Linked DNA regions of Rattus norvegicus. The protein of the gene in region 1 interacts with the protein of each later gene in a pairwise test. Links are inferred from orthologs where the notes say so. Each region holds a gene or a part of one and is shown on either strand. Other genes may lie near its edges. The genes, in order: Nelfb and Nelfe.

Evidence for each region.
Region 2: the proteins of Nelfb (region 1) and Nelfe interact in binary tests that used the Homo sapiens proteins (3 or more experiments, as listed by UniProt). The link is inferred for Rattus norvegicus from reciprocal best matches to the Homo sapiens genes NELFB and NELFE.

Annotation. Positions count from the first base shown.
Region 1 is NC_086021.1:28,414,737-28,431,006, reverse strand, and holds the start of Nelfb (negative elongation factor B), read left to right. Parts: upstream 1-5,442; 5' UTR 5,443-5,508; coding exon 5,509-5,763; intron 5,764-5,996; coding exon 5,997-6,160; intron 6,161-6,319; coding exon 6,320-6,419; intron 6,420-6,782; coding exon 6,783-7,013; intron 7,014-8,189; exon of another isoform or gene 8,190-8,294; intron 8,295-10,170; coding exon 10,171-10,356; intron 10,357-11,306; coding exon 11,307-11,419; intron 11,420-12,243; coding exon 12,244-12,346; intron 12,347-12,560; coding exon 12,561-12,656; intron 12,657-13,063; coding exon 13,064-13,206; intron 13,207-13,310; coding exon 13,311-13,417; intron 13,418-16,270. Other genes in the region: protein STPG3, read left to right, coding at 2,334-2,440, 2,540-2,697, 2,798-2,932, 3,022-3,110, 3,366-3,842. UniProt on the Homo sapiens protein: Essential component of the NELF complex, a complex that negatively regulates the elongation of transcription by RNA polymerase II.
Region 2 is NC_086038.1:3,970,036-3,986,061, forward strand, and holds the end of Nelfe (negative elongation factor E), read right to left. Parts: intron 14,860-16,026; coding exon 14,790-14,859; intron 14,693-14,789; coding exon 14,547-14,692; intron 13,897-14,546; coding exon 13,822-13,896; intron 13,712-13,821; coding exon 13,674-13,711; intron 13,516-13,673; coding exon 13,184-13,515; intron 13,097-13,183; coding exon 12,952-13,096; intron 12,847-12,951; coding exon 12,792-12,846; intron 12,594-12,791; coding exon 12,491-12,593; intron 11,394-12,490; coding exon 11,323-11,393; 3' UTR 11,226-11,322; downstream 1-11,225. Other genes in the region: complement C2, read left to right, coding at 861-950, 2,697-2,837, 2,968-3,062, 3,151-3,268, 3,371-3,536, 3,645-3,721, 3,875-3,966, 4,113-4,239 and 2 more; Cfb (complement factor B precursor), read left to right, coding at 5,447-5,507, 5,595-5,828, 6,344-6,529, 6,622-6,795, 6,932-7,033, 7,135-7,271, 7,464-7,602, 7,973-8,104 and 10 more. UniProt on the Homo sapiens protein: Essential component of the NELF complex, a complex that negatively regulates the elongation of transcription by RNA polymerase II.

The DNA.
Region 1 (16,270 bases):
TGAGCATCTGCACTCAAGTACATAAACCTACACACAGACACAGAGGTACGCTTATGAAGGAACAAGATGAGCTAGGCAGTTGGGAGGCAGAGGCAATTCGATCTTTGAAATTAGGCAGCCTGGTCTACTGAGAGAGTTCCAGGACAGCCAGGGCTACACAGAGAAACCCTGCGTGGAAAAACCAACAATAAATCAAATCAGGTGATTTTTTTTTTTTTTTGGTTCTTTTTTTCGGAGTTGGGGATCGAACCCAGGGCCTTGCGCTTCCTAGGCAAGCGCTCTACCACTGAGCTAAATCCCCAACCCCGGTGATTTTTGTTTTAAGTCACATTAAAAATAAGTCTTTTGGGCGCTGGAGAGATGGCTCAGCGATTAAGAGCACCGACTGCTCTTCCAGAGGTCCTGAGTTCAAATCCCAGCAACCACATGGTGGCTCACAACCATTTGTAGTGGGATCTGATGCCCTCTTCTGGTGTGTCTGAAGGCAGCTTCAGTGTACTCATATATAATAAGTAAATAAATCTTTATAAAGTGTTAAAATATTAAAAATTGATCATCCAATATTAAAATGTAAATATAAGCATAAGTGTCTGAAAACAAAGCCACCCTACAACCTTTAAACACATAGAGGTACAGTTCTACCTGAATCAAGTAAGTGTGGCTTCAGTGCTAGCAATGGAAGTTTCTAATGTGGGTCACTGAGGTACATCCCAGAACACAATTTGCTAATATAGATCAGGTCTAAACAAGACATCACTTCCACCACCCTAAAGAAGTGCTCTAAAACTAAACAAAGGTGCATGGTGGTTGTAGGGCTAGAAGATCCAGGTTCAATTCCCAGCAGTCACATGGTAGTCACAACCATGTGTAACTCCACTTCCAGGGGATCTGATGCCCTCTTCTGACCTCCACTTCACCAGGCATACATGTGCTACACATATACATGTAGGCAAAACACACATACAAATTCTTGAAACAAAAACAGAGACATCATAACTGTATCTGTTTTTTTTTTTCTTCTTGTTATGTAGCCCAAGCTGACCTTGAACTTGTAGTGATCCTCCTGCCTCAGCCTCCCAAGTGCTGCAATTCCAGGCTGGGCCAGCATGCCCAGCTCCACAGCAGTATGATTATGTATGCTAGAGGCAGAGGTTAATGTTGGGTGTCTTCCACAATTGTTCCATTCCTTAGCATTTTTGAGATATGGTTTGCCTCACAGACTGGCGTACTTTGGTTCAGAAGAAGAGTGAACTCTGGAACGGTCCTGTTTATCTCCCCAGAGCTGGGGCTGCAGAGGAGCAAACCTGGATTTTACCGCTCCTGGACATCCAACTCAGGCTCTCCTGCTAGGTGGCAGGCACTTACACTTACCAAGCCATTCCTATCCCCACAGCAGTAGTTTTTACAGGGAGGAACCGGAGTCACATAAGAACCCTCCACACCAGGTACCTTAATACCATCAATTCGTTCTCAAAGGACACTGCACAGTGTAGGAGGAGGCTCCAGGCAGCCTGTGGTCCCTTTGTTCAAATCAAACTTGTTTCCTCATGTCTCCATCCGTCTATCCAGAAAAGTATCAGTCAGGGCCAGTGCTAGAGGGAGAGATCCAGAAAGGAAGAGACACAGTCATGGTAGAAGGCTGGAGGAGGCTTTGTGGGTAAGGTATCTTTGTCTGGGGCCTGCTTGGGTATGGTTGGAGACAAGGTCAGCGGTAGGACAGCCAGGACAGCCAGCATCAGAGGCCACTCTGGAAGGGCCTGAGTCCTGCTCAGACTCAGTATACCTTTGTAATCATCTAGGCACAACCTACTTCATCTAATACATTCTGGCCTTCTAGCTTCTGTGCCTGCAGGTAGAGGCAGAAGACAAGTTCTTATAACTAGCCCCGCCTGCACTGGCCAGACCAGTAGCCAGGTCTCAGTGGCTTTGCTTCCCCATGATGGGGTTTGCTGTAGAGGCAGCCGCTGCCCCTCCCCCCCAACTGTCTTTCTCTCTATACCCTTTCAATTGGCCCTCACATGGAGCCATCCTGCAGCGCTTGGCCCTGCCCCTTCTTTACCTAGGGTGGGGTCCCAGACTTCCCTGAAGAGTGGACTCAAGCCCCCAGTAAAGGGAAGAAGGGTTGGGACAGTTTAGAACCTGTCTTGACCAAGGCTGACCTGGATGACAGTCTCAGCAGGTATTAAGGATGGAGGCCCTGTGGGAGAGCCCCTCCTGATCTGGACAATGTTCCTCTCCCAGGGAGCTCCCAGCAACAGCGGGGAGGGGCATGATCCGCCAGTGAGGTCACAGAGCCCAGCAGTGCGCTCAGGCAAAGGAACCCAGGCCCCAGAATGAACTTTGACCAGAAGGCTGTGAAATTCCTGGCAAACTTTTACATCAATGGAGGCAAACACTGGACTCGGGGACCCCTGAGTCAGAAATCTCTTCACCTCACCCAGTAATTTCCGAGGGTAGTGGATGGGGGGTTGGGGTGGGGGGACAACCCAGTGGGAAGACCATTGGGATAGATGAACAGTGGCTGTTGGCTTCCTTGCAGGTCCAATGCTACTGTGCTATGGTGGGACCAGGAGCTGGAGGCTGCCTGGGATGAGATGTGGCTCCCAAAGATGAAGAGAGCTTCAAGCGGCTTCAAATTAAAATCAGGCACTCCTAATGAGTCCACACCTATTGGCACAGGGACTCTGAGGGAGCTGTGTGAGTGAGAGTCTTCACTCCCTCCCCAGGCCGGCCAGGGGAGGCTGGGAAAATAGCCTTCTAAGGAGAAATGGGTCTAGAGTTTGCTTTTTTGTATCAGGGCTAGAGAGACGTCCTCCAATCCTGACAGACCTGGATGTCCCTGGCCCAACCCAGTATGAGGCGCCCAATGTGTCTCTGCGAGAATCTTCTCCACACCCCCAATACACCATCGGGCGCAAGTACCCGGGTCGAGGTGCATGTCCCTACAAATCCTGCCTATACCGGGGGAATGGGAACCTCATGCCCTGAAAACCTCCCCACCGACCATCCGCCCCACTGCAGAGGGTGGTGGCCGCAGGGCATGGCAGACCATGTGGCTCCAGAGTGAAAGCCCCTTCACACAGAAGACTGACTTCAACCGAGAGACAAAGGTAGGGACACTGTGTGGGCCAGGTAGAGGAAGAGTGGGAGAAGGGGACACCTTGAGGAGGTAGGGGTGTTGCAGGTGAGGAGGAGGAGGTGAGGAAAGGAGGGGTCAGACAGCCTGTGGGAGGGGCTATGTGCCTGGGTTTGGCGTAGAGGGAGATCTGAGAACCAGCATCTCGGAAGGTACAAAAGCATGGGTCAGGTCTAGGAGGATAGGATGAAGCTGGGCAAGGAGGTTGTAGCGTCCTGACTCTTCATAGTGGCCATCGCCTGCCGAGTACACGCCGTTGAGTCAGCCTGCCTTCCCGGCCTTCAGCTTTGGAAGCCGCCGTCGCTCTTCGGCCAAAATACCTGAGAGGCATTTCCGCCCGGGGATGCTCCGAGCCCGAGGTCCTTGTAACTATACCCCACTCTTGGCTACCTCAAAGCCCTCTGGCGAGAAGCGACCCGGCCCCAACACCTATAACATCTTTCCTGGGTGCCGTCTGCAGAGCACACGCTCACCCGCCTTCTCCATGAGCCGCTCTCCTGCGTTTGCATCCTGGGTCAGCTCCAGTAAGGAAGACCTAGAAAAAGAGGCTTGGGGGTGGTTTGGGTCTTGGGCCGCAGGGGAAGGGAAGGATGCTGGGGTGAGGACTAGGGTCAGCTCACTCTCTCTGCAGCCCGAACCCCAGGTCCAGCTGCCTACTACGTGGAAGACTGCTACAATTCACGCTTCCCTTCTCCACCTGGAGTAGTTATCCAAGGAGTGCGGAGACCCAAGCGCCATGACACAGGCCCCTTCTGCACACTGTAGGCCCATCGGATATAGATTGCAAAACTGACCTCTCTTGAGGCTTTCCTAGGCTTCCTTTGGAACTCTTTGTAGCCTGGCCTTCTGACCCTCTAGACACCCCTCACCCACTCTTCTAGCTTAGGCTGTGCAATAAGAAGAGTCTTCCTAGAGTCTCCCTAACCCCCGCTATACCGAGATACAAATGATTCTTCTGAACTGTGGTCTCTGGTGTGCCTGGTTGCCCATCCTTTGCCTAATGGGCTGTCTTGAATATGTGACTTCCTGCTTCCCTGGTATTTCTGGCTTTCTTTGTTCCTGCATGGTGTTCTTTTCTTCAGGATTGAAATAGTAGCCTGGGAACTAACCCTAAGCTTTCTGACCTAGGATAGAATAGGAAAAGAACCCTGTGGCAATGTGGGACAACCTGATCCAGTCACCCGAGGTCCAGCATCTACCTGAGGATCAGGGCTGCTTGCTTGGCTGTGGAACTATTGGGATGGGATGGGAAGCCAGAACCTATGGAGCTGTCTTCACACAGCCTTGCCCAGCCCATGAGGTAGGACCCAGGGAGTCAGCTCACCAGACATGGGTCTACTGGAGCCTCGACCTGAAGATTCAACTGTTTTTGCTAACTTGTGTTCTGAGAACCCAAGCCCAAAGCCTTCAGCCCTAGCCCCTGCCCAGTGATGGCTCCCTCAGCACTGTTGACCTGCCTTCCTACTTAGAAGGAGTACCCTTCAGGAGCCTCACCTTGCAGCTAGTCATAGTAGTTTCTCCAGGGCCCTCTCCATATTTTCTTCCTCACCCAGACATAGATCTCACTAAAGAACATTTTAAAAATGTATTTTATGGTGTTTTGCTTGCTAGTATGGTCCATGTATCATGTGTGCTTAGTGCCCAGAAGACATTAGATTCCTTGGAACTGATGTTACAGAGCTGCTATGTAGGTGCTGGAACTGAACCCAGGTCCCCTGTAATAGCAGAAAACGTTCTTAACTGCTGAGCCATTTTCCTAGCTCTCAGAGCTGATTTCTTTCTTTCCGTCCTCCCCAGGAGGCCCTGGCTGTCTTGGAAGGTACTATGTAAACCAGGCTAGTCCTGAACTCACAGAGATTCGCCTGTGCTAGGATTAAAGCATTATTGCCAAGTGTGACAGCCCAAGCCTAAAGGCTTTAATCCCAGCGGTCAGAGGCAGGAAGGAGATCTGAGTTTGAGGCAACCTGGTCTAAAGTGTCTGTCTCAAGGGGGAAAAAAGCGTACCACTAAGCCCAAACCAGAACTCACTTAAAAAGTGACTTCATTTATGCATATAAATGCATGTATGTCTGTATAACACATGTATGCCTGGCGTTTGTGGAGGTGAGAAGAGGGCATCAGATCTCTTGGAACTGGCGTAGGTTCTGGTTCCCAGAGAGCAGATGAAGTGAAAGGCTGAAAATTTCCTAGCACTGGCGGCGGCCGGGGCTAGAGTTGCTTGATAATCCCGACCCCACCATTGTACCCAAGTCGCTGCCCGGAACCTGCGCGCGGCGGCGGCGTTTTCCCGGGGCCTATTGGCTGCTGGACCTAGACAGTCAAGGGCGGAAGTGGGAGGTGTGGGTCGGTGCAAGCAGCTCTGCTGACGCGATCTGGCCACACTGGAGGCGGCGGGCGAACGGGGCTTGGGTGGTCCTCGTGGCACCGTGGAAAGGACGTCTGGGGCTCCGTCAGCGTCCGCTACGGCTCCAGCAGAGCGCGGCGGGGATGGGGTACACAGCCGAGCGGCCGTCGGAGCCTCGGCCATGTTTGCGGGGCTCCAGGACCTGGGCGTGGCCAATGGCGAGGACCTGAAAGAGACCCTAACCAACTGCACCGAGCCTCTCAAGGCCATTGAGCAATTTCAGGTAGGCAGAAGGGACCGGGGCAGCTAGGGAAGCGGGACACAATTCGGTGCGCTCCCGATGCTTAGATGGAAGAACTAGAGGTTCTGAGCTAGGGACCCGCTGAGTAACTCTCGGCGTTTTTCCTTTCCCGCGGTTACCATGGCGGACCCGTTTACTCAGGGCATCCGAGGTGCCCGTGCTGATTTGGCTGCGGCCAAGCAAAATGCGTACGCGTTTACCCTTTGCTTCTCCAGACAGAGAATGGCGTGTTGCTGCCTTCCCTGCAGTCGGCCCTGCCCTTCTTGGATCTACACGGGACACCGCGGCTGGAGTTCCATCAGTCAGTGTTTGATGAGCTACGCGACAAACTGCTGGAACGAGTGTCAGCTATTGCCTCTGAGGGAAAGGCAGAGGAGAGGTGGGTCTCTACCAGGGAGCTGCTTATGTTTGTGAGTAGCATTTACGGTCTCCGTGGCTGCACAGCCCTACTTGTAGCTAGAACCTTGAATGTGTTTGAGAGACTCCCCTTCTCTGTATATTCTGCATGTGGAGAACACAACTGAGCAAGTCTTCGCAGGTACAAGAAGCTGGAAGACCTTCTGGAAAAGAGCTTTTCTCTGGTCAAGATGCCATCCCTACAGCCAGTGGTGATGTGTGTTATGAAACACTTGCCCAAGGTGAGAGCTGTGGAGCCAGCCCTTGTAGATCATGAGATTAGTACAGGCGGTTGGTTAGCTCTGGGAAAGTTTTATGAACTTGCTCCCTGGCAAACTCTGGGCACTTTCTCTGTATCATACACTTCCCCTGGTTGAGCCCAGTGGAAGCACATGTATCCCTTAAAGTGCTCTGTGGGTCTTTCCTGGGAAGAGGGTGGTGGAGATTCTGGATGTCTGAACTCACCTGCTAAGCATTGGAAGTCCTTCACAGGTTCTCCTCGATGTGGCTGGGCTCTAGAGGGTCTGTGGGCAACTGAGGCCTTGGTGGAGGAGTCTTGGCGACACAGGCAGCACTTGCAGGGAGCTGTGGTGTTTACTTTGTAGGTTCCTGAGAAGAAGCTGAAGCTGGTGATGGCTGACAAGGAGTTGTACCGGGCATGTGCTGTGGAAGTGAAGAGGCAGATCTGGCAAGATAACCAGGCTCTCTTTGGTGATGAAGTCTCACCACTGTTGAAGCAGTATATCCTAGAGAAGGAGAGTGCACTGTTCAGCACGGAGCTCTCTGTCCTGCACAACTTCTTCAGCCCTTCCCCCAAGACCAGGCGTCAGGGAGAGGTGAGAGGAAGGCAGGGTGTGCTCAGTGAGGCAAATGCCTGGCAGGAGTGTGGCCAGCCCTTCATTCCTTGCCTCTTCCCTGTGTGTGTTACTTAGTCTGTTTCTGTAAGCGTGAACTTATGTATGTAGCCTGGAAAAAGTTGGTTGGCAGAGGTTGAGGCAGGAGGATTGCTGTGAGTTTGAGGCCAGCCTGATCTCATCACAAAAAAAAAAAAAAAAAAGAAAAAAAAAGAAAAGAAAAACACTGAATTTAACTTTTTATCTATTATTCTTACCTCTTACTGATGTTGGCATAATTCTAAATTCAAATTTACCATAGTGGTTTCCTTATTTATTTTTGAGACAGGATCTTTCAATGTAACCCTGACTGGTCTGAAATTCCCTATATAGATTAGGCTGGCTTTGAACTCACAGAGATCCACCTGCCTCTGCTCCCAAGTGCTGGAATTAAAGGCGTGGGCACCATGTCTGGGTCATAAGTGACATCTTTAAAATGTTTTAAATTAATTTTAATTATTTCTTGATGTTTCCCTGTTTGTATACAACATGTGTGAGTATGTGCCCACAGAGGTCAGAGGTCAGATGCCCATGGGGCTGGACTCTGTGAACTGCCTGGTGGGGTGCTAGGGATTGGACCCAGCTCTTCTGGAAGAGCAGTGTGCTCACTCACCACTGGGCCATCTCTCTAGCCCATAAGCATCATCTTTTATGTTGAGAATTTATTTATTAAGTTACTTATCATGTATCTCTGTGAATGACCATGTTGTGTAGAGACCAAAAGACAACTTGCAGGAGTCTTTGTTTAGAGGCAGGGTTTCTCTGTGTAGCCCTGGGCGTCCTGTAACTCACTGTGTAGACCAGGCTGGCCTTGAACTCTGCCTGTCTCTACTTCTTGAGTACTGGGATTAAAAGCCTACACACCACCTCTGGCCATCTTGCCAGTTCTTAAGTCAAGATTTTGTAACTAGCTTACTTTACATTAACACTGTTTAGTAGAAAGATAAATTTATATAAATCATTCAAAAATTTCTACTGTCGGGGGGTTGGGGATTTAACTCAATGGTAGAGCACTTGCCTAGCTCTGGGTTCGGTCCCCAGCTCCGAAAAGAAGGAAAAAGAAAAAAAAATTTCTAGTGTCTACTTTGACAAAAATAGATGAGCTTTTTTTTTTTTTTTTTAAATGCAGAATGCTTCTTGTATTTGTGTGTCATCCTTGCACAGGGGCCATGCTAACCTTCTCTGTGTTGTTCCAGTTTTAGTCTCTGTGCTGGGAGGGAGGAGGCAGAGGCAGGGGAAGTCACTGGGACTTGAGGGCCTGCAGATTTAGTGAGAGACCCTTTGTCACGTCAATAAAGTAGAGAGTGGGAGGGCAGAAGTGCACTGGGCTTGGGTACACAGTTTCGAGTTGTCTAGCTCCCAGTGGTACTCTGGCTTCTTCCTTGCTTCACCAAGCTCTTAGGTCCCCAGGCCTTCTTGACTTTCTGCTTCTGACTTTGACGTGTTAGGCCGCATAGGTCTCGGTCAGCCCAGTGTCTGCCCCGTGTTGACAGGGCCGTTTCTTACAGCCTCCAGGTTTCCTTTCCTTTCCTTTCCTTTCATTCCTGTCTGGTTGGAGTTTATCACTCCTCATGTGAGCTTCCACAGCTGACACAATGGACACTGTTTGGACTCCTGGGCCAAGTGGCTAGATTTAGAATTACAGTTCTAAGTGCCAAAGACCTTTCTTGATATTCTCCGTTGTCAGTTTCTGCAGATGAGTCTGATTTGTGGCACTTTGATGCTGGCCTGTTTCTCCTCTTGGAGACTTTGCAGACACTCTCAGTGCTCTGTGATTCTCCAACCCTGGGGACAGAGCTGGTGGATCACCCTACAGTCTTGGCTGTAGGTTAGCTGTCTTGCCTATGAGCAGGTGGTCCCTCTGTGTCAGGGTTAGAGTGTATCTGTGGTCTGTGCCCAGTGAATAGGAGAACTTTGGACCATCCACATGGCTCAGTGACAGGAACAGTGAAGATTTTGTTCCTGAGATGAAGATCCAGGTCAGTCCGAGAGTTCTTGGCAGGGGTCTTGGAGAGTGAAACAACAGACCAGCCACTGGCTCCTGCACTCTTCTACCTCCTCCCGCTGACCTCACTTCTTGTTGAGGCTAACCTGATGCCTTGGGCTTCCTGTGCTATCTTAACTCTGGACTTACCCTAAATGTCTCTTTGTACCATAGGCCTGAGACTCAGTTGACTGTGGTCAGTTAGTAGCTGAGTGAAAGTTCTTTATGTTGGTGAAGACTTTTTTTCTTCCCAAGACAGGGTTTGTCTGTGTAGTCTGAGCTGTCCTGGAACTCCCTCTAGACCAGGCTGGTCTTGACCTCAGAGATCCTGCCTGTCTCTGCCTCCTGAGTATTGGGATTAAAGGCACACCTATTCCCTAAACCCCCAGCTATTGGAGCTGGACTGTTTGGTTTGCTGTAGTTGGGTACATGTAAGGTGGGTGACACCTGCCAAAGGAACAGGCAGGTGCCCTTCATGGCCCTTGCCTAGAGTACAAGGTAAGGAAGAGCTGGGTGTCAGTGTTTATGGTTTAGTACTAGAAGACAGGAAAGCAGAGAGCCCAGTGTGGCCTGATAGGCGTTCACCTAGGCCCAAAGGCAGCAGCTGTGTAGCCAAGCATTCTGTGTTGGGCCCGTTCTTCAGATTGGTTCTCACCACTGCTTCTAGGATGAGTCACCTACCCCTTAACCTGACAGGTGAGTGCTTGAAGCACAGTAGATTGCAGACCCAGGGCCTTTTAGGATGTCCCTGGGATGAATGTGGATCTTTCACTTGGAGTAGTCAAAGCTGGCCCCCTAGAATATAGTGCCAGCATTTCATGACAGAGAAAGAAATATCTCATGGCCGAAACAGAGCGGCCAGCTCTGTATCCAGGCCTGGGGAACTTGTCCGTGTCGTGTTGTGCTTGGGTGGTGCTGGGCTTTTATGTTTTGTTTTAGTCTTTTGAGACACAGTCTTTTTATGTAACCTTGGCTGATCTGGAACTTGATCTGGAACGAGTTCCGGTCTGACTTAGAACTCAGATCCACCTACCTCTGTTTCCCAAGTGCTAGATATGTCCACCTTTCCTTGTCCCGGGGTGGGATTTTGGACTCCGTCTGTCTGTCTGCTCCTAGGTGGTGCAGAAGCTGACACAGATGGTAGGGAAGAACGTGAAGCTGTATGACATGGTGCTGCAGTTCTTGCGCACACTGTTCCTTCGGACCAGGAATGTGCACTACTGCACGCTACGAGCCGAGCTGCTGATGTCTTTGCATGACCTGGATGTCAGTGATATCTGCACCGTGGATCCCTGCCATAAGGTAGTGGTGCCTGCCTCCCTCTGCACTTCTCCTGCGCCCTTCTCCTCTGCACTCACCAACCTAGGAGTGGCTGCTGACCACGTGCGCCTAAGCTTGCTTCTCAGCTTGCCAGCTTTGTGCTCCTCAGCTCGACTGGGAGTGGATGAACAGGTCCTGCAGACACATGGTTGTCCTCCTGGTGCCTCCCTTGCAGTCCCTCTAGCCTTTGCTCTATAGCTGCAAGTGGCAGCAGGCCCTGAGACCATCTTCCTGTTGGGCTCCTGGTGTCTACTGCCGTAGAACCCTCAGGGCTTCTCGCTGTCCAGTAGCAAAGTAATAAAGGAATGAGGTTTTCTGCACTCCCTCTATCCCCCACCAAGAACACAGGACACCTAAGACCACCTCATGGGTACATGGTGTGTTGCTTATCAAAGCCAGGCACTGAGCAGCACTACATATCTGCCATAACCTGTCCATCTGTCTGCCAGCCCTCCTTAGCTCCCTTCTAGGAAGAATAAATATGCCTCTCTCATGTGCTGTCCTGATCCTTAGTACTTTTGAGACCTAGGGAGACCTCCTGCTAGTCCTCATGAAAGCTCACTGGTGTCTCAGTCCTGTGCCATGTTGTCTCTGGGAATGTCTGGGAATGAGAACTGTTTGGTTTCCTTTGTTAATACCTGCCGATCGAGTGCACGGCAAATGGTCGTGTTGGCTGTCTAGGCCTGGAGACTGCTGCTGCCCCCCTTCGGCTACCCCTTTTCCTGATGGCCATTTTCTCTGTTCTCTCCAGGGACCCCTTTCGTTCTCTGCCCTGCGTTTGGCCTAGGCTGGGGTCTTGGCCCTGGGCTTGTGTTTATCTTTGCTTCTCTCCTGTATTTGGCCTTGTGGTTCCCACAGCCATTTGGGTAGTGGCAGTGGAGTGAGGAGGAATGAGTCTGTGTGTATCTAGACTGTCTATTTCCATCCCCTAGTTCACCTGGTGCCTGGATGCCTGCATCCGTGAGCGGTTTGTGGACAGCAAACGAGCCCGAGAGCTGCAGGGATTCCTTGATGGTGTGAAGAAGGGCCAGGAACAAGTTTTGGGGTGAGAGCTTTTTAAGGACCCTACCCTTTGATCCCTAAACAGACATCAGTGGGGCTTGCTGTTCACCTTTGGCAGTTGGAGCCTGTTCTGGTATATTTGGGATGCTCATCCTTGGTACTAGGCCCATTGTTAACAGGGTGCTAACACATCACTTGGAATGAGCCTCAGTAGCAAGAGAATCCATGCCTGTGCCTGGAGTTTGAGGCCTGCTATTCCCGAGGCAGCACAGGGAGCTGAGTCAGGGAGGGGCTGCTGTCTGTGGCAAGTTAGGTGTGAGCTTAGGCTGGGTTAGGTACTCCAGCCTGATTCCCAGCATCCTTTGCCTGGCGTGAAGATGTTGTGGCTGCCACGGCCTTGCCACATTTCTTTATTATATTCTCCACTCACTGGCTAAGCCTACAGTTGAAGCCAGGGGTTTGTTCTGTTTTGAGACAGGATCTTCTTGATTTGTGGCCAAGCTGACCTGAGAATCACTGTGTAGACCAGGCTGGCCTCAAACTCATCATGAGTTTCTCTCTCCTGAATGCTAGGATTAAAGTCATGTATCATCGTTGCTTGCCCCGACTCAGGGTCTTTCAATCAGGGTCTGGATTTAGTGTGTTGAGGGTTAATTTTTTTTCTTTAACTTTGTAGATTAGAAGATCTTTGAGTAAGTTAGGGGGTAAGTTATGAATTCAGTACACAGAGAGGCTGGCTATCTGGGGTCAGTCCCCAAGCCCTTGCATCCCAGTCTGTGGCTGTCCCTTTAGTGCGTCTGGCACTGTGGCTATTAGAAACAGAGTAACCAGGTTCCTCAATTTATATCAAGGTCTGATTCCTTCCAGGGACTTGTCTATGATCCTGTGTGACCCTTTTGCCATCAACACTCTGTCCCTGAGCACCATCAGGCACTTGCAGGAGCTGGTTAGCCAGGAGACCCTGCCCAGGGTGAGCATAGTCATGGCTGCTGACTGCGCAAAGCACAGACTGTCACTTGTAAAGTTGGGTTTTTCTCCATAGGTGGGTATCGGCACATGGGTGCCTTATGATCACACACTCCTAGGGTCTTGGCTCTGGAAAGCAGAGAGCCTGCTTTGCCCAGTGAGACCAGAGGATGGCATGGTCCCTGGGAGCCCTTGCCGATGCCTCTGTGTTCTTTCAGGACAGTCCCGACCTCCTCCTCCTCCTTAGGCTGCTGGCACTGGGCCAAGGTGCATGGGACTTAATAGACAGCCAGGTCTTCAAGGAGCCCAAGATGGTATGAGGCCCGGGTCCTCCTTTCTGCTAAATTATGGGAGTGCAAGGGTGGGGGCCTTCTGGTAGCACAACTCTACTCCTAGAGTCATTTTTAGGGGAGCTCCCATCAAGGGTGTTTGGGTGTCTTGGTGGACTAGCTGCAGGGTAGAAGCTATTCTAGGGGCTGGGATCCAGATGGGGCTTTGCAGGTGCAGCCATGATGGGGGCATTCAAGAATATAGCAGTAGACATGAATCTCAGGAAACAGGAAGGAGGGATTTGGGGGCCCAATGTCCAAGAAATGTGAGTTTGAGGCAAGTGTATTGGGTGGATAAGGGCTAGATGTACATGGCTGAGTGGGTTAGGGTGTCTGCTGAGAGCAGCCAGGCGCACTGGGACCTTAATGGACTCAGACATTCCTTCTGCCAGGAGGCAGAGCTCATCACCAAGTTCCTGCCGATGCTCATGTCCTTCGTGGTGGATGACTACACTTTCAACGTAGATCAGAAGCTTCCAGCTGAGGAGAAAGCCCCAGTCACATATCCCAACACGCTTCCTGAAAGCTTCACCAAGTAGGACTCCAGGGCAGGGTTTGGGGGAGGCACTCGAGTGGAGCTGACAGGGAAGTTGCTGCTGGCAGGCTGACTCTTGGAAGACCATGGCTTCTCTCATGCAGGTTTCTGCAGGAGCAGCGCATGGCTTGTGAGGTGGGACTGTACTATGTTCTACACATCACCAAGCAGAGAAACAAGAATGCTCTCCTGCGCCTGCTGCCTGGTCTTGGTGAGTTCTGATGGCTGTGCTCCCCTGCCACCTGTCTGCTGAGCTCTGCCAACTATCTTCTGCCTTTATCTCCAACTCCCATAGCTTGATTTCTGTGTTTGTAATTTACCTCAGTAGACACTCGGTGTGCATGCTTGTAAAGCAGGCTGGGCTCTGTTTCAGAGATGCCAGTGGGTCTTGTGATTTCCTACAGCAGGGATTCAGACTTCTACAGCCAGGTGTGGTGTGCATGTCCTTCACTCCAGCACTCAGGAGGCAGAGGGAGGCAGAGCTCTGAGAGTTCAAGATAAGCTTGGTCTATATAGTCAGTTCTCCCACCTTTATGTGGGTTCCAGGAAATCAACTCGAGTCCCCAGACTTGGATAGCCTTTCTCACTGAGCCATCTCACCAGCCCTCTTGTTTAGGTTGTCCAGAAAGACCCAGGCTACGTAGACAGACCCTGTTTTTTTTTTTTTTTTTTTGGTTCTTTTTTTCGGAGCTGGGGACTGAACCCAGGGCCTTGTGCTTCCTAGGCAAGCGCTCTACCACTGAGCTAAATCCCCAACCCCCAGAGCCCCCAGACCCTGTTTTAAAACAAAACATAAAACACCTTTTGTCTTAGTTAGGGTTTTACTGCTGTGAACAGACACCATGACCAAGGAAGTCTTATAAAGGACAACATTTAATTGTTGTCAGGTTCAGAGGTTCAGTCCATTATCATCAAGGCAGGAACATGGCAGCATCCAGGTACAGGAGGAGCTGAAAGTTCTACATCTTCATCTGAAGGCTGCTAGCGGAACACTGACTTCCTGGCAGCTAGGACTAGTGTATTAAAGCCCACACCCACAGTGACACACTTATTTCAACAAGGCTACACCTCCTAAAAGTGCCAGCCACTCCCTGAGCCAAACCTATACAAACCATCACATTCCACTCCCTGGCCCCCATAGGTGTGTTCAAACATATGAGTCTCTGGGGCCACACCTAAACATAGCATAATGCAAAACACAAATAGTCCAACTTCCAGAGCCCCAGTCTAGAGCAGTCTCAACAGTGTTCAAGTCTCTTCTGAGATCCATCCAAGCCCTTAACTGTAGTCCCCCAAGCAAGACAGGAAGCCAGCTGGGCAAACTCCAAACTCTGCATCTCCATGTCTGATGTCAAAGCAACCTTCAGATCTCCACCTCCTTTTGCATCTCTGTTGACTGCAACAAACTTCTTTTCTGGGCTCATTCCACTCCCTGTTAGCAGCTTTCCTCAGCAGATAGCTCACGGCTCTGGCATCTCAAACATCTTGGGGTCTCCAAGGCAGCTTCAGTGTTAGAGCTTCTTGTTTCAATGTCTGGGATTCACACATGATCTTCTGGGCTCCTCCAAAGGGCTGGCATCACTTCTCCAGCTCTGCCCTCTGTCGGACTCTAAGCTCAGGCTGATCCACTCCACTGCTGCTGCTGTTCTTGGTGATCATCCCATGGCACTGGCATCTCCATACACGGAGGTCTTCCACTGCACCTAGGCTTCACCAGTACCCTCTCCTAGGCTCTCTTCATGGTGCCAAGCCTCACTCCTTTGCATGACACCTTCAGTCCTGGGTCATCAACTGCAACTGAGGCTGTACCAATGACCTTCCGTGGCCTCTCACAGTGCCAAGCCTCAGCTGCTCTTCATGACCCCTTCATGCTTCAAACCAGTACCACCTGGGTGACTCTTACACATTACCAAATACAGCTGCCGCATGAGGTGCAACCTTTGCTATCTCTGGAACACAGGATCTGTGTGCTCTCAGAAAATCTTCCCAGATTTTATCTCAGTGATACTGGTCTCTTCTTAATTACTGCTAATTTTTTTCCCATCTTTTTTTTAAAATATTTATTTATTTATTTATTTTATTTATATGAGTATACTGCAGCTGTCTTCAGACACACCAGAGGAGGGCATCGGATCCCATTACAGACGGTTGTGAGCCACCATGTGGTTGCTGGGAATTGAACTCAGGACCTCTGGAAGAGCAGTCAGTGCTCTTAACCGCTGAGCCATCTCTCCAGCCTCTATTTTTTCCATCTTTATTAACTTGAGTATTTCTTATTTACATTTCAATTGTTATTCCCCTTCCCGGTTTCCGGGCCAACATCCCCCTAACCCCTCCCCCTATTGCTAATTTTTTAACTCCAGCTAACCAGCATCAATTGTCCCAGTAGTTTCCTTTTCCTTTTGACTATAAAGTCAGAGACACATGGCTGAAGCTTCCAAAATCTGCTGCTTGCTGGGGCTAGACCATGACCCCCTTGTTATATTACATCATCACCAGCTTTCTGTTTTCTAACTCCTTCACTGACAGTGTGGCTGTCCTGGAACTTGCTCTGTAGACTTACCTTGAACTCAGAGATCTACAAGGCTTTGCCTCCTGGGATTAAAGGTGTGTGGTACCTGCACCTGAATTTAGCTGAGTGAGATCTTACCACTCCCTTAATTCAATTTAATATCCTTGAACACAGGATTCAGCTCCATTTCACTTCCTGGTGCTCCTTTAATACTCAAACCATATATTTTGTATTCTTCCTTTCTAAGCTTGCTATGCTTATTCAAAACGCTCTTCATGAGACTTAACCATAGATCAAAGTCTATGATGGACATTTCTGAGACTTCCTTTGTCAATGCAATTAATCTGATTCTCTTCACCTTAGCCCCAGGTACACTCTTCAGACAAGGGCAAAAAACCAGCCACATACTGTTCTTCACCAAATACTACAAAAACAGTCTCTAGACCACATAGTGAAGTTCTTTTCCACTGAAACCTCTTGGGCTTGGTCTGCATAGTTCAAATCCCTCACAGCAACAAAATCTTTCCATATTTCTACTAGGATGGCTCATTA
Region 2 (16,026 bases), on another chromosome or scaffold:
GGGTACTGGGTGCACACACCTCTATGGTAGGGTGTGCAGACGTCTTGGTATATGCCCGGGAATGAATTAGATGAGTCATGTGGTCTTTGTATTTCTAATTTGCCGAGTGATGGTTTCCACAATGGCTCTATTAAATCACAGCCCCCAACAGTGAATAGGGTCCTCTCTGTCCGTGTCCTCCCCATCATCTGTTGTCAGATTTATTGATGATGGACATTCTGACTGGGGTGGGTGCCATCTTGGAGTAGTTTTAATTTGCATTTCCCGGATGAGTAGGGATAGAGAACATGTTTACAAATAGTTATCGGCTGTTTGTGTTTCTTTCTGAAAACTGTCTATCCAGTTAACTTACTGACTGGAAGATTTATTTCTTCAGTATTTAATTTCTCTAATTCACCGTAAACCCGGCATGTGAGCATCTTGTCTGTTGTCTGTCCGATAAGGGCTTTCTCCACTCTGTGAGCACACTGTGTGTGCACTCTGCTGACTGCTTCCTTAGCTGTACAGAAACATTTTGTTCTCTCTCGTGTGTTCGTTTTGTTCTGCCTGCATGTGTGTGTGTGTGTGTGTGTGTGTGTGTGTGTGTGTGTGTATTACACGTGAGTCTAGTGACCTTGGAGGTCAGGACAGGGCCTTGGATGTCTTGGGAATGGAGTTCTAGACAGTTGGGAGCCACCATGTAAGTGCTGGGAACTGAACCCAGGTCCTCTGGAAGAGCAACAGGTGCTCTTACCCACCGAGTCACCCCTCCAGCCTGAAGCAGTGCGTTTTGAAATGACCGAGTGTTCTGCATGCTTCCAGGGGTGTGCGGGATTCTGAAGTCAACCCAGACGGATCATTATTTTCCTTCTCTGTTCTAGGAAAGTCCAACATGGGTGGCTCTCCCAAGCCGGCAGTCGACAACATCAGAGAGATCCTGGGCATCAGTCGGAACAGAAACGACTACCTGGGTGAGGCTCTGCCCTGCCCAAGCCCTATCAGTAGGGAATAGGAATGGGACCCTCTGTGACAGGGTTCAATAGGACCTAGCTGTGGCCCTGAGCCCTGAGGGTTTCCCTGTGGTTCTGCGCGATTGTATCACCTCGAAGAGCCGGGTACCAAACTGTCCATGGTCTGTCCCTACGCTGGCTCCATCTCCAGAGGGCTGGGGCTGTGGACCGCTTCTTCCTCTGTGAGAAACAGTCAGCCGTGGGCCTGCCTCACAGGTGGGTAGGGGAGGAAGCTAAGGAAATGTGAGCTGTTGCAGAGATCTGCTCAGTACTGTCTGCCGCCGCCGTCACCATTGCCACCGTCACCATGTCAACAGCACCTCACATTTCAGGAAAACTGCAGGAAGAACTGGCCTGGGTTCCTGGTAGGGACTGTCCCTCTGGTATCCCTTCAGCTGTAGGGCAGCTAGGCGAAGTGTTGGCAGGCAAAGCTGCTGAAGGAACAAATAATTCCTCAGGGTTAGGGTGACCGAAAACCATGCTGACCAATGACCAGGAAACAACTTAAGTTTTTTCTTGGTTTATTTTTGAGACAAGGTCTTGTTCGTAGAGGCCTGGTGGCCGCAGGTGTCCTTGGCTTGTAGGTACAAAACCTCAATCTTCCCCTCTGTGGTCTCCCCAATTTCTGTTCGGTTTCTACAGCGTCCAGCTAGCTACATCTGGGTTCAAATTTCCTATGTATTTAGTGCAGTGTTGGGGACTGAATGTAGGTTTTTTTTTTTTGCTTTGTTTTGTTTTATTTATTTTTTTTTTTGTTTTGTCTGCCAGGTAAGTACTCTGCCACTGAGCTATAACCCCAGGCCTCTGTTTACTTTTGTTCTAGACACTTACTTTTGATCTATGTGTATGTGTGTGTCTGTGTGAGTACCTTTGGAGGGTGGAAGAGGATGTCACCTCTCCCCAGAGCTGGACATACAAGCAATGGGTGCCGGAGACTGAACTCTGGTCTTCTGGAAGAGTAGCAAGTGCTCCAGACCACTGAGCATCCCAACCTTCTTTTCTGTTATTTTTGGGATGGGCCCAGGCTGACCTCCAACTCACTAGGTAGCTTAGGCTGATCTTACTGACTCCATCTCCTGAGTGCCAGTAACACAACGTGAAGGACCCTGGTGGTGCACACCTTTAACCCCAGCACTTGGGAGGCAGAGGCAGGCAGGTCTCTGTGAGTTCGAGGCCAGCCTAGTCTACAGAGAGTGAGCCCTACTTCTGATTCAGATCACATCCACAATAGAATTGAACTTGGAAACATTCCTTTGGGAACACACGGTGCTATACACAGGATAGAAACAAGGTAGCCCTTCAGCATTCAAGTGGTGACATGATGTGAAGCCAAGAGGGGGTGGCGTGGGAGGGTACTGGGCATTGTAGGTTCAGAAGACATTGCTGAGGAAGACCTGTGTGGGCATCTGGAGGAGAGCGCCCCAGCCAGAGGTGCAGCTGGAGCTGAGGCCTGAGGAGGGAATCTAGGAGGCTGTGGGGGGCTGGGTGGCAGTAGGAGAGGAAGTGAACGTGTGTGTGTGTGTGTGTGTGTGTGTGTGTGTGTGTGTGTGTGTGTGTGTATGTGTGTGTGTGTGTGTGTGTGTGTGTGAAGGAGATGGAGCCCATCTAACTCAGGCCTTTGTCGGCTTTGAGAGTTCAAACACCTGCCTCATGTCTTGGGTGGCCCCTTGAGTCTCAGGCTCTGGTGATTTCCCTCCTGCCTGCCAGACATCTATGCGATTGGGGTGGGTAAGCTGGATGTGGACTGGAAGGAACTGAACGAGCTGGGGTCCAAGAAGGACGGCGAGAGGCACGCCTTCATCTTGCAGGACGCAAAAGCTGTGCAGCAGGTCTTTGAGCACATTCTGGGTGAGTGAGCTTCGTGTCCCCTGCGGGGGACAGCACAGTGGGCACTCAGACGGGTGGGGGGGGGGCTCACCACGAAGCCTGGATCGGTGGCCCTCACCCCCGTCCCCTCCCATCTGGTCTTCGCCCATAGATGTCTCTAAGCTCACAGACACCATCTGTGGGGTGGGGAACATGTCCGTCAATGCCTCTGACCAGGAGAGGACACCTTGGCAAGTCACCTTTAAGGTATCAGGAAGGAGGGGCAGGGTTCGGGTCACAGAGGTTTAAAAGCAGCCAGGCACGGCAAACCCGGACTGCTGTCTCTTCCCTGCAGCCCAAGAGTAAGGAGACTTGCCAGGGGTCGCTTATCTCTGACCAGTGGGTGCTGACTGCGGCTCACTGCTTCCATGACGCTCAGATGGAGGACCGCCACCTGTGGAGGGTCATCGTGGGTAAGTCAGGGGCTGCAGGGGACCGACCCCTCACCCGCAAGGCCAGAGTCACCACTGTCTCTCCTCAGCCTTTGGTCCGGTCTAACCCACTGCTGTTCTCAGGGGATCCCACCTCTCATCACGGCAAAGAATTCCATGTGGAGGAGGTGTTAGTTGCCCCTGGGTTTAATGTCCACGCAAAGCAGAGCCAGGGCATCTCGGAGTTCTACGCTGATGACATTGCCCTGCTGAAGCTGTCTCAGAGAGTGAAAATGTCCAGCCACGCCAGGTGCGTGGACCTAGGTGGGAGGGTACCCTAGAGAGGGCAGTGCTCTGGAAAGCACCAGAGGGCACAGGGAGGATGGGCCTGTCTGACGCTCGCTCGCCTTTCTCCCAGGCCCATCTGCCTTCCTTGCACAGTGGGGGCCAACATGGCTCTGCGGAGATCCCCAGGTAGTACCTGTAAAGACCATGGTGAGTGCTGGAGGCTTGAGGTCCTTGGTGGGTTGCGCCAGAGCTTGCTTGCGGGGTGCCAGCAGGGGTGGGGGGGGCTGCAGTCCTCGAGCTGGACACATCAGCTCTGGGTAAAGAGACCTGTATCGACATCCCCCTTCTCCCCGACGGCAGAGACAGAACTTCTGTCACAGCAGAAGGTTCCTGCGCATTTCGTAGCTCTGAACGGGAACAGAATGAACATCAACCTCAGGACAGGACCTGAGGTGAGAGCTCAGTGAGGGATGCTGGGATACTCTGGGGGGGGGGGCAGCTCCTAGAGTGTCCGGCCCTGTTTGGAGTCGGACCTCGCTGGTCTGCCTAATGTCTCCTGGCACGTCCCCATTCTTCTCTCCTGTGCCCCACGCTGCAGAGGACAAGCTGTATCGAGGCTGTCTCCCAAAACAAGGGCAGCTTCCCCGGCTTGACAAACGTCAGTGAGGTGGTGACAGACCAGTTCCTATGTAGCGGGATGGAGGGAGATGACAGTCCTTGCAAAGGTTAGTCTGGTCCCGGACTTCCAGGGAGAAAGAAGGCTGTGGTGTCCCCGTGGTCAGCACTCACTCTGAATACTAACTAGTGTGCTGTCCTGGACAATGCCGCCCTTTCTTTCTCTGCAGGAGAATCCGGGGGAGCCGTTTTCCTTGAGCGGAGGTACAGGTTTTTCCAGGTGAGAAGCAGGATCTGGAGAGGGGACTCACTGCCAGGATACAAGTGCTTTCTTGCTGGCAGCAGGTGGGAGGCCTTTGAGGGGAACCAGAGAGGTGGAGGCTTGGAGTGGGGCTGCCTTTATCTCCTCATGTTGTCTCTTCCCTCCAGGTGGGCCTGGTGAGTTGGGGTCTTTTTGACCCTTGTCACGGTTCCTCCAACAAAAACTTGCGCAGGAAGCCTCCGCATGGCGTTGTGCCTAGGGACTTCCACATCAGTCTCTTCCGGCTGCAGCCCTGGTTGAGGCAGCACCTGGATGGTGTCCTCGACTTTTTGCCCCTTTAACACGGTCACCGACTCCTTTGCTGGTCTGTCCCTCCTGTCTTCTGCCTCTGAGTGTTCTTGCTCCCAGGTACATAAATCCTGGAACGCAGAGACAAAAGCTAGGAATCCCCAGGGTTGTGCCAGAACCACTGTGCCCTCCCGAGAAGCAAGTGTCTCTCTAGTGTGGATGACCCGTGCTCCTTTTGCTTTCACACAGAATTTCCCAGTTATGAAATTAATAAAAATCAATGATTTCCACATCCGGTCTGTCTTATGTCTTGGGGGTGGGGAGGCCAGGAAGGTTCCAGGAAGGTCAGAGACCCTGCTGCACAAACAGTGGCTGGACTCTGCCCCATCACACAGCCCGGGGAAAACTGGTCTCTAAGTGGGGGGTGGCGGTGGGGGTGGTCTGGGCTTGTTACTAGGGTCTGGGGGCTAAGAGGGAGCTCTGAAAGGGAAGTTCTGGCCCTTGGTCAGTAAAGGGTGGGGCGCTCGCATAGTTTCTGTTTCCTCAGTTGGCAGCTCAGCAGGGGCCCTCCTTCATGAATGTTCCGGGAAGCAGCGTCTGTGCAGGGTAGGTTGGCCAGGCTGCAGGTGCCAGAGCAGATTGCATAAAAGGTTAGGGGCCGGTGGGAAAGGGGTGTAGCCAGATCCAGCACTGGAGTTTCAGTCTGGACAGCAAGTCAAGTAGCCACCCAGAGTGAACTGGAAAGGGCTTTTGGCCACGGGCTTTCCATGACAATGGAGGGTCCCCAGCTCTGCTTAGTCCTCTTGGTCTTAGGCCTCTCCTCCGGAGGTAAGCAAAGGACACTCCATCCTCTTTTTGTCCTCATCAGCTGTCTTTGGTCTTCTGGGGCCAGGCTTCACCAGCCTTTCTCCTCAGGTGTGAGCGCAACTCCAGTGCTTGAGGCCCGGCCCCAGGTCTCTTGCTCTCTGGAGGGAGTAGAGATCAAAGGCGGCTCCTTCCAACTTCTCCAAGACGGTCAGGCCCTGGAGTACCTGTGTCCCTCTGGCTTCTACCCATACCCTGTGCAGACTCGAACCTGCAAATCCACAGGCTCCTGGAGTGTCCTCCAGACCCGGGACCAAAAGATTGTCAAGAAGGCAGAATGCAGAGGTTGGGGGTTTGGGAGTGTGGCGGTGGGTGGCTGGTCAGAGCTGATGGAGGCTGTTCAGTGCCTGGCAGTCTGACCTGTGGGCCGGCTGAGCGTGGAAACACCTCGGGGGTTGGGGGTGCGTGTACGAAGGCTTTCCTCAGGCAGTGAAAACAATACTGGGAAACAGGGCAAGGGAGTCTGGAGATGTAGATCAGCTGGGAGAGTGCTCGCCTGCCGTGCATAAAGCAATGCTGTGCGAAGCAGGAGCAGGGGTGGCGCCCGCAATCCTAACGCTCAGGACATGGGGCCAGGAGGGGGACAAATTCAGTCATCTTCAGCTCCATAGCCAGTTTGAAGCCAGCCTGGGTTACATGAGCCCGTGTCTCAGAACAAAACAAAATAATCCCACAACACAAGAGGAGGGGACAGCAGGGTTGAGGGGACTGGGCAGGTACTGTTTCTCAGTGACAGGATTTCTAAGAGCAGGAAGGACCTAGAAACAGCTCTTGGTGACTTTTACCTGTCTCCCCTAAAGCAATACGCTGCCCACGACCACAGGACTTTGAAAATGGGGAGTTCTGGCCCCGGTCCCCCTACTACAACCTGAGTGATCAGATTTCTTTTCAATGCTATGATGGCTACACTCTCCGGGGCTCTGCTAATCGCACCTGCCAAGAGAATGGCCGGTGGGATGGGCAAACAGCAATCTGTGATGATGGAGGTGAGAACCAGGTCACCCCTGATTTTACTCCCTGCTGGAGGGCTTCACCGTGGGAATGCACGAGCACTCAAATTGTCTTCATGTCTCTGCAGCGGGATACTGTCCCAACCCGGGTATTCCTATTGGGACAAGGAAGGTGGGAAGCCAGTACCGTCTTGAAGACACTGTCACTTACCACTGTAGTCGGGGACTTGTCCTACGTGGCTCCCAGCAGCGAAGGTGCCAGGAAGGTGGCTCGTGGAGTGGGACAGAGCCTTCCTGCCAAGGTGACCCTTGACCTGCTTCCTGGGTTGGCTCTTGCCCTGTTGGCTCCACACTAGAAGTCTCTGGTCCTGAAATCCCATCACCCTGTCAGTACGTCCTCAGTACTCCAGACATCTGATCTACTCTGATCATCCCTAGATTCCTTCATGTACGACAGCCCTCAAGAGGTGGCCGAAGCATTTCTATCCTCCCTGACAGAGACCATCGAAGGAGCAGATGCGGAGGATGGGCACAGCCCAGGTTTGAATACAAGGAGGGAGGTTGAGCAGGAAGCTCAGGGAAGGGTGGGTGGCCTGCCAGGTACTGCACATGCCAGAGACTGAGACTCTGCTGGTACCTAGGGGAACAGCAGAAGAGGAAGATTATCCTGGACCCCTCGGGCTCCATGAATATCTACATGGTGCTGGATGGATCCGACAGCATCGGGGCCAGCAACTTCACAGGGGCCAAGCGGTGTCTCGCCAACTTGATTGAGAAGGTAGATCACAGCTTCCATCCCTTTGGAATAAGGGGAGCTTGTGTGGACTCCACTGCTCTTACAAGACTGGTTTCCTGTGTCTCCAGATTCTCTGGGTCCGAGTCCTGTTGTCCTCCAGCCTTCTCCCTGTCTCAGTAGGAGTGCTGACTACCCACCATAGTTTTAACACAATGGCCTCTTGCTCATGCACAGGTGGCGAGTTATGGGGTGAAGCCAAGATACGGTCTAGTGACATATGCCACAGTCCCCAAAGTCTTGGTCAGAGTGTCTGAGGAGAGGAGTAGTGATGCCGACTGGGTCACAGAGAAGCTCAACCAAATCAGTTATGAAGGTCAGAGGTCAGGGAAGGGAAAGCCGGGAGGTGCACCTTGGGGCTGTGGTGGTCAAGAGGCTCAGGGTTCTTCTGGAGAAAGTAGACAGACTACTACTAGTTAGAGGTTGAACGAAAGTGTCCTTGAGCAATAGAGAGTGCTGGGAGAGCCAAGGGCAAGCAGGTGATCACCTAAAAGTTAAATATTGCCTGGACTTGGTGGAACAAGCCTTTAATCCCAACATGCAAAAGGCAGGTGGATCTCTGAGAGTTCAAGGCCAGCATGGTCTACATAGTAAATGTTAAAGAATGTGGGATCTTAGTTGTCATAGACTTCTGAGGGGTAATAGTGGCTTGGAAGATAAGGTCAATAACCTCCCTTTCTCTATAGACCACAAGCTGAAGTCAGGGACCAACACCAAGAAGGCTCTCCAGGCTGTATACAGCATGATGAGCTGGCCAGGGGATGCTCCGCCTGAAGGCTGGAATCGAACCCGCCACGTCATCATCATCATGACTGATGGTAAGGCCTTTCTCCTACCCCACCGTCCTCTCAAGTCCTGCACAAGTGTTTGTCTCCAGCCGGTGTATCTTCCTTGACCCACTTTCACAATCCTCCTGTTTCCACAGGCTTGCACAACATGGGTGGAGACCCTGTCACTGTCATTGAGGACATCCGAGACTTGCTGGATATTGGCAGGGATCGCAAAAATCCCCGGGAGGATTATTTGGGTGAGTGGCTCACTTGGGATCCAGCACCCTCACTCCTCAGGGCCTGGACCCTTACCCTCTCCTTCTCTCCTTCAGATGTGTATGTGTTTGGGGTCGGGCCTCTGGTGGACCCTGTGAACATCAATGCCTTGGCTTCCAAAAAGAACAATGAGCAGCATGTGTTCAAGGTCAAGGACATGGAGGATCTGGAGAACGTCTTCTACAAAATGATCGGTAGGAAAGCTCAGGCTCAAGGGTGTGGAAGGGGAAGCTGCAGGCTGAGGTCGCCAACTCCTCTCACCCTATAGCCCTTAAAACCTGGAAGGCTCACCCCATGCCTATTCTTACTTCTGACATTCACTTCCTGACTTCTCACAATCACAGAACTGATAGCCTACTTTACAGATGTGGAAACTGAGGCCAAGCACAGCAAGTCAGCACCCAGACTGTAGCTAAAAATGCTCAGTCCTCAGATTGCCTGGTCAATCTTTCTCACTACGCCATGGGGGTTCCTCATTTAACACACAAGAGCCCTCTCTCCTGCTTTCCTTCCCTCTTCTGTGCCTCTGCTGTCTACAGACATGAAGGGATCCAACAAAAGTGGCAGCAATGACAAGCCTTCAGTGTTCTTTCCCTGACAGATGAAACCAAATCTCTGGGTCTCTGTGGCATGGTGTGGGAGCATCAGAAAGGCGGTGATTATTACAAGCAACCATGGCAAGCCAAGATCTCAGTCACTGTAAGCTTCCCAGCACTGGGGACTTGGGGAGGTGAGATGTCCACACTAGCTGTAATCCTGGCTGTTCAGGAAGCTGAGGCAGGGTAGATTCATGGCCTGCTTGGGCTACAGTGAGTTCAAGGTCAATCAATTCAAAACTGACTGAAAGTGGGAAAGGAAGCTGGGCATGGGACACATCCGTGCTGGTAACCTGGCATTTGGAAGTGAGCACAGCACTGCCTTGAGTCTCAGGTTAGTCTGGGCTACACAGTAAAGCTGTGTAGATGTAATGAAGAGAAGAAAGCTGGGGCTAGTGTTCACCTAGCTTGTACGAAGCTTGTCTCCAGCGCACACACCAAGGTTAGTCTGCACTGGCTTCCTAGCGTCCTCTGAAAGGACATGAGAACTGTATGGGGGCCGTGGTGTCCGAGTACTTCGTGCTGACAGCAGCGCATTGCTTCACAGTGGAAGATCAGAAACACTCCATCAAGGTCAACGTGGGTAAGACTCTGACCTCCAGGCCCATCCTCAGGAAGCACTGACGTTATGACCTGTAGCTCACCCATTCTCAGCATGCCCCTCCCTTAAACCCTGACCAATCAAGGATGGGGAAACAGAATCCAAGAGATAAGATGGGGCCAGAGGAAGGAGGCTGCTCACATAAACATGGTTCCCATTCTCCTTCACTCAGAGGGGAAAAGGCGGGACCTGGAGATTGAAGAGGTCCTGTTCCACCCTAATTACGACATCAATGGGAAAAAGGCAGAAGGAATCTCTGAGTTCTATGACTATGATGTTGCCCTCATCAAGCTCAAGACCAAGCTGAAGTACAGCCAGACTCTCAGGTGAGTGGGGCTGGGTCCCAGAGGAACTAGGGAAGGTGGGCTGGAGCATAGGACACAACAGGCTGTCTGTGGTCCCTCACTCTACCTGTCTCCATAGGCCCATCTGTCTCCCCTGCACAGAGGGAACCACCCGAGCCTTGCGGCTTCCTCAGACAGCCACCTGCAAACAGCACAGTAAGGCATAGTCTGGGCTAAGACAAGGAGGAGACTCCCGAGACAAAGGGGCAGAGGAGGGAGCTGCAAGTGTAAACTGCTCAGTTCAGGGCCTAGCACCTAAGGGCCCAAGGGACACCTGCTAGATGAGAAGCAAGGGGACAGCTGGCATGGCCCTTTTACTTTTCCAGAGGAAGAGTTGCTCCCTATGAAGGACGTCAAAGCTCTGTTTGTATCCGAGGAAGGGAAGAAGCTGACCCGGAAGGAGGTGTACATCAAGAATGGGGAAAAGGTGATAAGAAGTTTCTGGAGAGGGTCACATAGGCCTCATTCTTTCCTGAGCTAGTTTTGTTTACCACACCTTTGTCGCCTACAGAAAGCCAGTTGTGAGAGAGATGCTACAAAGGCCCAAGGCTATGAGAAGGTCAAAGTTGCCTCTGAGGTGGTCACCCCCAGGTTCCTGTGCACCGGAGGGGTAGATCCCTATGCTGACCCCAACACATGCAAAGGTGAGGTGGCTCTCTGGCTATGCGGCAAGCCCACACAGCCCAGCAGTCTCCCCTACAGCCTCTCTCTTCTACAGGAGACTCCGGGGGCCCTCTCATTGTTCACAAGAGAAGCCGCTTCATTCAAGTGAGTGGTCCCTTTTCCAGTCCATTGGGGAGATGCTCAGGTGTCACAAAAAAGGAAGCTTGATGTGCACGGCTGATAAAGGTGGCAGAACGGGCCCACCTCATCTGTTCTTAACTGGCCAGTGAAAGCCAGGTTATGTGCACCATAGAAGAGAGAGGAGCTGGCTCCCAGTGCACTTCTTTAGGCCAGCTCAGAAGCTTTCTGGGGTTATGAAGTGTCAAGTGACCATGGCCCTCCTTATCTACACAGGTTGGTGTGATCAGCTGGGGAGTAGTGGATGTCTGCAAAGACCCGAGGCGGCAACAGTTGGTGCCCTCCTATGCCCGGGACTTCCACATCAATCTCTTCCAGGTGCTGCCCTGGCTAAAGGAGAAGCTCAAAGACGAGGACTTGGGTTTCTTATAAGGAGCTTCCTGCTGGGAGGGTGAGGGCAGATTAAAGCAGCTACAATACAAATACAAAGTGTGTTCCACATCTTTTTGGGGTAAGGGAGTGGGGCGTGCACTGGTTAACAACACTGACAGCTGCTTTTGAAGGCTCAACTCCAATCCCAAGTGCTCAAAGACTAGAGGCTGACAGAGGTGAAAAGCTTCTACCCCAGGATTTTACTGAGACCAGCTTGGGGGCATATGAGGCACAAGGAATCCAGCTTCATGTCCTAGAAGCCATCCACAAGGTTTCCTATAGATCGTCACTGTACACAATCTGGGTCCTCTTGTCCCGGTGGCAACCCTTGGGGCTGTTCTGGACAGCTAAGGAGGGAGGAAAGTGACAGTTAAGGTCTGAAGCAGTGGCCGCTTCCATTAGACCTGGGGTCCAGAGCCCTGGCCCTGGTCCACCAGGGCTTACTCTGCCCTCTGGTGGCCACAGTCTCACCCTGGCTTAGAAAACCCAGAGAGTTAAACCCTGAGATCTGTGCAAATGAAAAGATCAGAACGCCTGTGGCCTTGCCCGCTGGGCAACGCTGGCTCCTCCTGGTGTCTACTGTGCTTACTTCTTCTCCAGAAAAATCTGTTTCAGGCAGAATGGGCTCCCCACACTGAGAAATCCCACCCATGGGGACCTCTGTGAACCAGAGTGCTCAGCGTTTCTTTCCTCGTCCTCCTCTCCTGCCCCAGGACTCCCTGTGGGGCTGAGAGGCAGCCTCCTCTTTGGTCTTACATCCTTCTCAGAGCCCAAAGCTTCTGGGGCTGCTCTTGGCTTGGACCCTTCTCACGGTTCCCTTGCCGCAGGCTCCACTGGGCCTAGCAAGCTGGAGGTATGCTCGGCAGACAGCAGAGCCCGGCTTCCTAGCGTTTTTGGTTCTCTAAACCCACCACGGGTCACTTTTATTTCTCCAAAATCCCATCTCTGATGGGTCCAGATGCAACAGAACTGATCTACACCTCCATGCCTGGCTTCCACCTGAGGTCCAGACCCACAGTACCAGGTCCAGACAGTGCTCCAGCTCAGAGGACACACTGGCTCCTACTTTCCTGTCTGTGACGCTCACTACTGGGGGACCCTGGTTTTTGTTTTTGTTTTTTGTTTTTTTTTTCTTTTCGGAGCTGGGGACCGAACCCAGGGCCTTGCGGTTGCTAGGCAAGCGCTCTACCACTGAGATAAATCCCCAGCCCCTTAAATAAATGGCTTTTCAAAACAAGATTTCTCTGTGCAACCCTGGCTGTCCTGAACTGAAAAGGGAACCTTTTAACGCTGTTCTCCTTCCCTCACCTGACAGATACCCTGGCAATTCTCCATCCTCTGCCTATGTGAAGACCCTGACCTTTGGCACTTTAGGCCACTCAAAGCTGTAGAGGGAACAGGAAAAGCTGTGCTGCAGGAGGGGGAGGGAGGGCCTCATCCTTACCAAGGGAGCCCCAGACAGATTTGCCAGTAGCAGCGTCCAGCATGGGCTGTTTTCGGGCTATGTTGACTTTGAGCTGCACAGATTCCACCTGGGTCCCATTGAGCTGTGGGACAAGAGGGGAGGGGACAGAGGATGGGTATTACATGGAGCCAGTTGCTGCCACCCTGGGAGGAGACCAAACAGGCATGTGAGGATGCAGGTTTTCTTGGTCAGGAGGAAAGTTTCCTCTAGGAGCAGGCATTGTTAGGAAGAAGCAGGAGGATGACAGGAGGGTGGGAGGAGCGGTCTGAGAAGTCCCAACCTCAGCAACAGCCTGATCTGCTGACTCCATCTTCTCGTAGGTGACGAAGGCACAGCTGGGTGAGAGAAGGCAGAGTCAGGGGGCTCCATGGGGCTCCACGGACCCAGTGACCCCCATGCTGCACACCAAGCGGCTCCTTCCCAGGATGCTCAATCCTTACTTTCTGGGTGGGTCCATGGAGAGGTCGATGATATTTCCAAAGGGAGAGAAGGCCCCTCGGAGGAGGGTGGGCGTCATGTCCTCTCCATACACATACAGAGTGTTCCCCTTTCGAGGGGCCCTCCGTTCGGGGAATGAGTCTGACCCTGTGGGTTAGGAACCATAGTCATTACCGAGTCCACATCACCTTCTACTTAGCGTGACCCACCTAAACCCTGGCCAAGACCACTCACTACGGAAAGGGCCCTCTCGGTCTCGCTCCCGGTCCCTGTCTCTGTCCCGCTCTTTGTCTCTGTCCCGGTCCCGGTCTCTGTCTTTGTCTTTGTCCCGTTCTCTGTCTCGATCCCGGTCTCTGTCTCGTTCTTTGTCCCGGTCCCTATCTCGGCTCCGATCATGACTTCTGTCCCGGCTGCGGCTTCGGGGAGGGGAGGCTGAGGATCGGGCACCGCTGTGTTCTTCATAGCTCCAGTCAAAACCTCGAGGTGGGCCTTCACCAGCCCCAGGGGCCTCTGCTTCTTCTCCATCTTGTCCCAGTTCCCGAAGCCGATCACTAGAAGACACAAAGCTGGGGAGAGGAAGATTACGGTGAGGATCAAAGGGGATTCCACCTTCCTCCAGACCTTGCGTAGTCAACCATGTCTCTGCAGCTGGCCCCTTCCACTCTAGCCCTGAACTTTCCAGTCACGCTGGCCTTTGGCCCCATACCAAACGATGCTCTCTAACCTTTCATACAGAGATTTCCTTTGGGGCCGTCTGGATGGCTGGGGGAAAAGAAAGGACAGAGAACAATTAAAATAACTCCCAGGCACCGGAGTGGGTGCACAATATGTGGGTCTCTTGCCCCCGATCCCAGCCCCACAGAAACCATTACCTCCTGTAGGTCCTCGTCAGCAGACATGCTCCTCTGGAACGGCTGGAAGGTGGGGACAGGCCCCTTCTCTGGGTCCTGGAAAGTGGTAGACACCCATGTTATTGTGGACCAGGAGAACTCTTCCCCCTCTCCTCGGCTTCTCTGTTAGACTTCTTATGGTGATGTGTTGGTCTTTTTGATTGATATGTTTTTTTGTTTTTGTTTTTTGTTTTTTTTTTGTTTTTTGTTTTTTGAGTTAAAGCTTTTCTGTGTAGCCCTGGCTATCCTGAACTTGCTCTGTAGACCAGGCTGTCCTTGAAGTTAGAGCTCTCGGACTGTCTGGTCCAGGCGCTGGTATTAAAGGCGTGCGCCACCATGTCTACTGATGTGCTGATTTTTGAGGAAGAGGCTTGGTCTACTCAAACCTCCCTTCAATCCAAGAAGCACAAATATGGAAAAGAGACGAAGGCATCACCCAGGTTTCTCTGTAATAGTCAGAAACCTAGGGCTCCAGTGGGCTGTGGTGGCAAACACTACCTTTTTTTCAAGGCCTAGGCCAGAGCATCAGTTGAGCTCATGAGTACAGTCAGACCCTGTCTTGAGGAGCAAGAAGGACTAGAAGTAGAGAAACACCCTAAACCTCAGGACAAGCACAGCTTGCTCCTATGTGAACATGCATGATTTCTCCCACTGACCCCCTTCCGGCTGACGCCAGGACGCCCCAGACAATCTTCCTGTGCGCTCACCTTTAACTTCCCTTCCAGGGTCCGAGAACGTTTGAAGCCTGAGTTCTTAGTTTCAGCCTTGATGGCACTGATAGCTCCTGACTTCACCAGCTGTTTGGCCTGTTCTGTTGCTGTGGCAGTATCCACCACAGGCTGCTCTGACAGTGCTGAGGAGAGAGGGACGGGGAGGGGACAGAGGCATTAGGCTGGCTGTGGAGGGAGGCCCTGTGCTGCTGCCCCCTGGACTCTGTCTCTATCACTTACAGCGCTTGACACCGCCCTGGCTCGCTGTACCACTGCTGCTTTGCTTCTTCAGAGCCAGCAACGCCTTTTTCTGGAAAGGAGAGAGGTCGGTGAGAAGAGAGGTCTGTCATCCAAGGCACTGGTCTCTTAGGTACGTGATCCCAGGGCCTGTGCCTGTGGCATCCTGGGCCTGGAGTGGTTCGTCCTGCCTTCACGTAATCACAAAGCCCACAGTACTTAATCTAACCAAACCATGGTGTTCAAAGGCTTTCCAGTCTCCCATTTTGGGAACTGAAAACCAAAAACAACTAAGCCATATCACATAAGCTGCAAATAAGCCCTGAATGCCATCCTTGGGGGTTTTATCCACCCATCTCCCATCTTCTGCATATTTAATGAGGCCACACAGAATCAAAACACATAGTTCCCACCTATAAGAAACTCAGAATCCATGGGGTTGGGGATTTAGCTCAGTGGTAGAGCACTTGCCTAGCAAGCGCAAGGCCCTGGGTTCGGTCCTCAGCTCCGGAAAAAAAAGGGGAAAAAAAAAAAAAAAAAAAAAAAGAAAGAAACTCAGAATCCAGGGAACGTAACGGCTAGACTGACAGCCAAGAATAATCAAAGGCACTAATCACTCACGGCTGAGTACAAACAACACTTTCAGATGGTTAAGTGACTACTAAACTGAGACCTGGTAGGACTGCCCAACAGACAGAAAAGATACTTCAGACAACGAAACGAAATCAGGGTGGTGAAAATGCAGAGGAGGCCTTGGAAGGCATGTTTTAAGAGAAAATGATTCTGTCGCTTTTGAGACAGATACTTCTTGAGCTGATACTTCAGGGCTCTGTTCTATACACAATGTGAAACCTCCTTAGTGCTTTCAACCGATCAGGCGAGCCCCCAAAACAGCAAAGCAAAACCCTGTTTGGAGGCGTTGGTATGAGAAATCACTGGGAGGTTTCACTAGTGAGGCTGAGGACACCTATAGTTCCATTTCCTGAGAGAAGCTGACGGAGGAAGATCACAAGAGCTCAGGAGTGGGAAAAAACACCCAACCTGGTAACATACTGAGATCCCGCTGGGGTGTGGGGGTGGGGGACACAGTGGAAGAGAGAGGAAGGAAGAAACCATTGACAGACTTGACAGATGTTTTGCTGTGTAAATAGTACAGAAGCCAGTGTGGAGGCAGAACTAGTCCAGGCTACCCAAGGCCACATATTTTCAATCCAGCCTGGGCTAAGTGTGAGACCCTGCC